2 linked regions of the Arabidopsis thaliana genome follow. The protein of the gene in region 2 interacts with the protein of the main gene of each other region in a pairwise test. Each region holds a gene or a part of one and is shown on either strand. Other genes may lie near its edges.

Region 1 (4,373 bases), on a different chromosome or scaffold from region 2:
ACCTGAAAATTCGATTCGAAGGAGAGAGAAAAATACCTCAAAAATGGTGTTTTGGATAGAAGAAAAAGAGAGAGAGATAAAATGAAAAGATCAAAAATTAATTTACTTGAAACACTTGTCTAGTTTTGTGATTAGTCGAGTACTTTGACTAGTTTTAGTAATTAAAGATAGTTATCGGGTGCGGACAAGATCACAGTAGGCTTGGATTGCCGTCACTTTTGCTTTTCGTTTATTGGACGACATTCTTGGGCCGGCGGCTAGTGTATGTATTTTTGGCACATGCTATATTCTAAAGTTGATAATTAAATAATAATACTTTGTTGTATAAAGTCCAATTATTTGTTATTAAAAAAAGACTTTAATAGTAAAAATACATTCATTTCACCAATAGCAAGATTAGGGATAAGATTCAACAATCAACATGGATATAAAAACATCTAATTGCAATGAAAAGTTAATGTTCACATAGATTTCTGTATTTTTATGTTAACTTTAACAGATTATATTCTGATTGGTCTATTAGTATAATTAAACTTTCAATCTACTTGAGCCCTGAGAATGGCCAACTCGGTCAGTTCACCAAACAAACAAAAATGATACAATTTTTTTTATAATCAAAATCAATTGGTTTTACTTTTTTAAGGTTTGAAATTTAAACAGAGGTTAAAAAGTTGCAACAAAGATCAGCCAAATTACATAACACTAGATTTAACCAAAAGGGACCAAATCTCTTTTTTGAAGTTTTAACCAACCAATCCACTAGATTCGATCAAGCTCCTTTGTCACTCACTACATTGCAATATATTATACGACATTGAAGAAAAGAAGGTATCGTCAAGTACCAATTAAGCTGAGGAAGAACTCAACAGATATTTAACATAAGCTTGAAGGTCATCGAAGAGAGTTGTTTGAGACAGACATCACTTTCCCCTGTTAACATAGAAAGGATTTTGTTTCAATCTTTTGTTATGTGACAAATCAAGCTGCTATACATCATAAAGAGAGAAGACAGAGTAGAGATTGTGTTACTTACGTGTTCATCATCAGAGTTATGTTGTCTCCTTTGAGTAAAATCCTTCCTGAAAATAGGTATTAACACGAGTTATCAAACCATAAGCAGACAGATCTGAGACTTGTTATCAAAGAGTGAGTTCAGGATAACTCACCAAGTGGTTTCCTGGTGTTCTTCTTGATGCTCACTTCTTCAGCCTCATCCAAAACTAGATTCATGTATTCGTCAAAACCCTGCAAAGGACGACGGATAAGCAAGGTTTGATGGATTCTCCTAGAAGAATCAATAATACACCCAAATTCAAGTAGACAAAAATCTAAGTTTAAAACCGAGTAGAGTGACACTATCACAAATATCATGTTCCTCCATACATATAATCAACCTCAGAAAAGCTAGGATCTTAACTCGAGGAACAACAAAAGTCAAGTAGACTGCAACATGGAACAACAAAAGTCAAGTAGACAACTCAAACCTTTAAGCCAATGAGAATGACACCATCACAAAATCTCAAGTTTCTCCAAATTATCATAGAATCAAACTAAGAAAAGCTTGAATGCTTGAATCATAACTCGAAAATCATAGAGGACATACAACTACAAGCATAGCAACAAACTGAAACAAGTAACACCCAAAGCCAAGTAGGCTGTAGGAGACAATAAGTTTTAAGCCGAAGAGAATGACACAATCATACTCAACCTAAGAACAGCTAGCTAATCAAACTAGTTTCTATTGGCAGGCTCTTATCAGTTCTTTGTGCAGTAGTAGTAACAGTGACAACTATCCCTTTTCAATTCACAACAAATGCAACAGTTCAAACACAGACTAAATTAGAGAGATAGTCACACTGCTAATGCATTTCAAACTCTCCTAAAGTTAGCATAACCCTCGAATGTCCTATAAACAAAGCCAGGAATCTAATCAATTCATGATAACGGAGCTTCAACATCAACTTACAGTGATTCTTCCTTCAATCCTCAAATCTTTCTGCTCAAATAGCCAAATCTGGATCCTAGCTTTCTGCATCACAAACACAAAAGACCAGGGAACAAATCAGTAGACGAACTACTAATAACCTAAAACCTCAGAGAGCAAATCAGAAGAAATTGAACAACTTACACTTTGAAGAAACCTAAAAATCAAGTTCTGGAGCCGCCGCCACCGGAAAACAAAAAGCAAGATACAAAATTAGGTTTCGATAGAAACAATAAAGAGATGGAACAAAGGAATCGAAGAAGAAACGTACGATAGGTTGGGTCATAATCCTTTGAACTTTGGTGCTCGCCATGGCTAACGTAGTTGGAAATCTCTCTCAAGCTTTCGAAAATTCTCTCTCAGAGGAAATCTAAAACCCTAAAAAGCGTTTGTCCCTCTGCTAATACGCTTTTTTCAACATTTTTCTTAAACTTAGTTCTCTCGGTCCTCATAAAACTTCAGAATGTTATTTCAGCCCATAACTAATTAATGTGATCATTTGGCCCAAATACTCTTTTCCAAGACCTAGAATTTTTTAGCGTAGGTTTTTAACTTTTTTTTTTTTTTTTTCAGAGAAAGATTTATTTTTAATATACTGAGGCTCAGTGTTACAACATAAAAGGCTCAAGACAGTCTACATATGAGGTCCACAACAGACTTTTACGTCACAAAAAAGAGATAAGCTTAAGACGTGTCAGACCAATAATAATAAGCTAAGGACACGTGAATCTTCCACAACCTCCACCGGATGAGACTCAAGTCTGGTGAATCGGAGAACCATCGCCGGGAAAGCACCGAGCAATGAAACTCTTTTTTTCTATCACCGATTATGGCAATTAGATGTTATAGAACAAACATCAATTTCCTAATCTCATATGGTTGCTAGAATCACAAATAATTCATCAAAACGGGTAAAGAAATTAAAAAAATTGAGTAGTTCAAACTTGTCCAACCATTGAATCTTCGAACTCTCTTGCAAAAGCACTAAAGGCATATCAAATTTGCATAGGATAGAAGCTTTAACCCAATCTTAGGCGAAAATAAAATTGAAACTGTCTTAAATATGGTAGATCCAAACGAGGGTAATTGCTGGAAACGCACACATCGCCGAAAAACTACCAGAGCCAAAAGCATAACCCAATAGTGAAGCTAAACAAAACAGAAGGAGAATAGATCTTGTAAAGAGAAACCCTCTTCAGATCTGACGATTCTGCATGCCATAAAGCTTCATCATCAAACCTTTGAAGTAACAAAACAAAAACAAAGATGACCAACGCTGTTAGTGTAAGCCCAACGCTGCCGTACGGAAGCTGGCCAACGTCGCTAAGTTAGCCAACGATGCCATACAAAAAGCCAACCATCTCCACTAACGTAGCTAGAAGATGTCGGACGAAAGCCCGAATTAAACGGGACGGCGACTCACCGGAAAACTATCCGGTTAACAAAAACAAAAGAAATTTCAGTTTCTATCTTTACAAACTACGAGAGAGCGAAGAGAGAAAAACTTTTTTGTGTGGTTTATTAACTTAGGTTTTTAATTTTTTATTATTCTGGTAAAAATATACGACTAATAATGATAATTATTAAAAATATTCTTACTTAGAAATTGGTGTCGATGATAAATTGGTTCTCAGTCGAACTAGTGTTAAAATAAATAAAAATATGACAAAGAATCACATCTATGTGCTCAATGCTAGAATTACAAAGATTGAAGAGAGATTGAAATTTGACCAAATATTATCTTCCCACATTCTTATAAATAAACAAACTTCATTCCTCACAACACAAAAATGTACAAAACCAACAATAAGCAGAAATTAAAAAGAGAAAAATGGTCACAATCTCAGATTTAAAAGAAAAGAAGACTAAAAAGCTTAGGCTATATCTATGACTAACTGAATCAAATCCAAATACAAAACAATTAGCTTTGTACAAAGAATCCAGCTTTGAATCTCAATCATTCATTATTTATCATCAGAGATTGATAAGGAACCTTCTTGATCTCCACAAATGTTGAGTACTCAGTGCTCATTGGTTGCTTCCATGGCTCACCATCCATTTGCAAGAATGCGTCTCTCCAGTCACCTCCTCTTAGCTCAAATCTTACCGCAGCAGCCTGAAATGATCACCAAAATGAAACAGTCAAACACATGGCTAAAAAGATTATACATTGACCAGTGTCTTTTGAAGTTACCTGAGCTATGTGCTTGGCAGAGATGAGCTCAGCCATGACAAATGACGCGTGCCATCCTTGCTTAAAACCGAAAATCTCTATCAAACCATCATCACAATGTGCTTCCACAAAGCCTCTCTGAGAAAAACCAAAGAAAACATTCGGGTTAACATCAGAGAACTGAGTTCATATATGATGAAATGGAACAGAAACAAT
Region 2 (3,758 bases):
GAACTATTTTTGTTAGTTTTTCAATTGATGAGTTAAGACTAAGAAGAAGTATATTCAAATTGTCATCTCCATTACCGCAAAGGTTGTCCCAATATTGCTACCACTTCATGGGCTGGATGTAAATTTAGTAGCGCTGATTGTAGTTTGCGGACTCATTAGTAAGATTTCTGAGAAGGGCCAATATAGGACTATTACAGCCCATTAGTAGTCCAACTTCTTAATCATAGACCCAATGCATAAAGCCCGATTAAGTACATGGTTAACTTATTCCCGATTAAGTACATGGTTGTCTTTATATCCTATTTTAAAACAATTTCAGCAAAAAACTTATTTTTCTGGAATACGCTAATCATTAATCAATATAGCATACATACTAATAAGTTAGACTAAATAATATTATTTATCATTTAAGCTAGGACGCATGATTGATCCGATTAATCTGAAAACTGATTGCTTGGAACGATATATTATGTTTGGTAATTGCTTGGTACATTATATTATGTTTGAAAATTATTTTTAAAAAGAGTGAAATCTCTCGAATTCTTTTATTTTGCGGGTACATACTTATGGCTTAAATTTGGTAAACAAAAGAATCTCAATGTTGCTACTTGCTACCACTTGATGGGCTATAAATTTAGGCCCAATAAAAATGGTTAAAAAAAGAATTGACTAAGAACCGGCAAGAAGAATGGTTTCTCATAAGAAAAAGGGCTTGTTAGTTTTTTAAGGTATGAATATGATCAACAAACTCTTAAGATTCAACAACATCACACTAAGATTAAAGTGCTCACAGAATACAAAAATTAAAACACACAGACTTGCAATTTCTAAGTACTCAATACAGGTTAGTCTTGATCAGCGTCTTCAAGCTCTTCATCTTCTGGCACACCACGGACATACAAAACATTGTTGCACCTATGTACACAAAAGTCAGCAAATTAATTCAATGGATCCGAAAATTTCGAAGCAATTACAAACCTGATAGTTAGTCAATGAATCCACTACTATCAGAGAGAAAATGATAAATGTGTGCTAATAATGGCCGCCAAGTCTAATTCTTAAGTTTTATCAAGTAATGACACTTCACTGTGAATCATATAGTTGGAAACATAAACTGAATCACAAGGAGAAAATAAGTAGAGACAATGAAGTAATATTATTACCTGATCAAGATCTCTCCAAGGTTCCCTGTCAATTGTCCATCAATATATTCTTCGGTGTTTCCCAGCTGACAAAAACAATATGGAAAATGTCAATGCATAACAATCTATGTATCTGTACAGATTATCAGCATTGCCTCTAAACTTGTATGCACAAGGAACATTTAGCAGGTGGTTTTGGACAAAATAACATCAATCTCTCTGTTTAATCAAAAAGCTATCTTATCTAACTTTGTAATTCAGGAAATAACGCACCTGCAAGTTCATGTAGGAGTCAACAGAGGCGAGAAAACCTGTGAAGTAGAAGGAAGACTGTTAGCTATATAAGCTCTGGATACTTATCATCAAAAGCATTTTGAAGAAAAATATACCTTTGTATTCCATTCCCCATTTAAGCTTGACGATAACAGTCTTGCCGGTCAAGTTGTTCAAGAATGGTTTCGGGTTAACCGGAATAGTCTGCAAAACACACATACATACAAACTTGGTTCATCAAATACTAATGGAATGAACTCAAAAGCATCACATTTGAAGATAAACACATTGTGCATTTTCCAACGAATTCTCGAATGCAATTTTTATGTAGTGGACTATTATACTCGTTAACGACATATATATAACAATTTCGAATCAGATTCAGATTCGCAGATACTCCAATCTTTTACTTGTAATCAGATAAATCGACGAGATTGGAGCTGAAAGAAGAGCTCAGGCCATCGAATTTCGCAATCCCTAAAACTACTTAACAGATAAAATTCTAATTTTGAGCTCAATAAAGAAAGGAATTAACTAATCTAAGCTCGAACTTAGAATCAGAAGACGAAAAAATCGAAACTTACCGCCATGAGTTTGAGAACGAAGAGACGAAACGAAGATCTGGGAGAACAAATATCGATACGCTTGTGGTTTCTCTCGATTTAGGGTTTTTGGCTGGGTTTATTCGTTGCTGTACAGAAGATAATGGGCCTGCGAAAATATCTCATAAGGCCCATTATTGGTTCAACTGGCTTGCTTTGTGAAATCTCCATAAAAGTGAAAACAAATAATACATGACAAAAACGACATGCATTCCAACCTAATGACATAAAACCGGCAAGAAGAATGGTTTCTCGAGAACAAAAGTCCATTATATTGCATTCATCTTTACACAATGATCAAATTTTGTCAGCTTGCCTTTAAAACAATTAGCCGGCTTTCTACTCTTTGACCATCCAATTATTAGTTTAGATTATATATAATTCCATTAGAATTCTATAATTATTACATCAAAACTAAAACGATTGGCATCACATATATGACCAAAGAATTAGGTGAACGTGAACCACTCATCTGTTGAGGTCATCCATCATCTAGTGCAAAGTATTTTTCATTTTTGAGGTCTTTTCATTTTTATTTTTTTTACAAGTCATTATATGTTTACTTTTTTTTTCACGTCATTATATGTTTACTATGATAAAGAAAACGCTTATAAAATCAGCATGCTAATAGAAAAGGTTATCTACATCATGATTTTTATTTTTTGAACAAAAAAACATTTGAAGTGAACTGCTATAGATGTGAATCATCTTACTTTTTTGCGTTTAAAGGCAAAATAGTAACATCGCACCATATGAAATTGTTATAAAAAGGGAAAACAAATCAAACTTTGTAGTCAAGCAATGTATATGAATAACCTACTTATGACTTGTGCCTTGCAGCGTAAGTTGATGTACGTTGAAAACGAAAAAACAAAGTGGATAGTTTGTAATTGTGGCTCTAATTCCTTTAGTTTTTTTTTCTCTAACAATTGAGTTTCTTTAATCACTACACTTCCACTTCCTCGATTTAATATACCTAAACTATAATTGGATAGTTGAAAATATCAAAAACTATAGTCTAGAATATAATTATAATCATCGTTTTAATGTTTGTAATAACCGAAAGGTCCGAAACGAAATGTTAGCAGCCAGGCGAAAGTCATTTTCTCAGCTGACCTCAGTTACGCGCAACAATTCATACCTCAGCACTTATTTTTTATACTTTTGTCACAATGTCTTAGTCTTCTTCTGAATTAGTCTCGACTATCTTTTTTCACAATCAATATGCTTCATACAGTTTGTTTGTGTGTAAACTTGCTCCTTCGAAAATATACCTAAAGAAAATTGTCTAAACATTTTTAGATTGTGTTTCGCTAATTCTTATATATATTTATATAGAAGTGGTGACATGTCGAATCTATATTTTATACAATACCATCAGTTAGCTTTTTGCACAGTCTTTTTATTTTACCGGTTGGGTGTACAAATCTATGCAAATTTGTGTGATCGTGGTACATTTATGTACATATGTATAAACATATAGTCTTTGACAAAGAATTTAAAAAATATAGGCATTTCAATCAAAGTTTTACATCATGAAGAAATGTAAATCTCAAATTTTCAAACATTATTAATTTGTGTTTGAATAATTCTATCTCTATCATTCTTGACCATGCTTTTGAATAACTAAATTTTCTAAGCTGAAAAATCGGAAAGATTCATGAATAAATGATCAATGCTATATATGAAGACTAGAGTTACTTGTCTTATCTTTCTTGTCGTTAAAACTATATATGAAAAC

The links.
Region 1: the proteins of RUXF (region 2) and AT2G18740 interact in a two-hybrid assay, tested with the Arabidopsis thaliana proteins (one large-scale study listed by BioGRID).

What each region holds. Positions count from the first base shown.
Region 1 is NC_003071.7:8,121,258-8,125,630, reverse strand, and holds AT2G18740 (Small nuclear ribonucleoprotein family protein), read right to left. Parts: upstream 2,411-4,373; 5' UTR 2,298-2,410; coding exon 2,256-2,297; intron 2,156-2,255; coding exon 2,129-2,155; intron 2,030-2,128; coding exon 1,967-2,029; intron 1,246-1,966; coding exon 1,167-1,245; intron 1,080-1,166; coding exon 1,034-1,079; intron 931-1,033; coding exon 921-930; 3' UTR 553-920; downstream 1-552. Other genes in the region: DGK3 (diacylglycerol kinase 3), read right to left, coding at 3,942-4,100, 4,179-4,295.
Region 2 is NC_003075.7:14,802,255-14,806,012, forward strand, and holds RUXF (small nuclear ribonucleoprotein F), read right to left. Parts: upstream 2,105-3,758; 5' UTR 2,006-2,104; coding exon 2,000-2,005; intron 1,644-1,999; coding exon 1,532-1,643; intron 1,454-1,531; coding exon 1,416-1,453; intron 1,229-1,415; coding exon 1,164-1,228; intron 916-1,163; coding exon 846-915; 3' UTR 706-845; downstream 1-705. UniProt on the Arabidopsis thaliana protein: Probable common Sm protein, is found in U1 and U2 snRNPs and may be part of the spliceosome.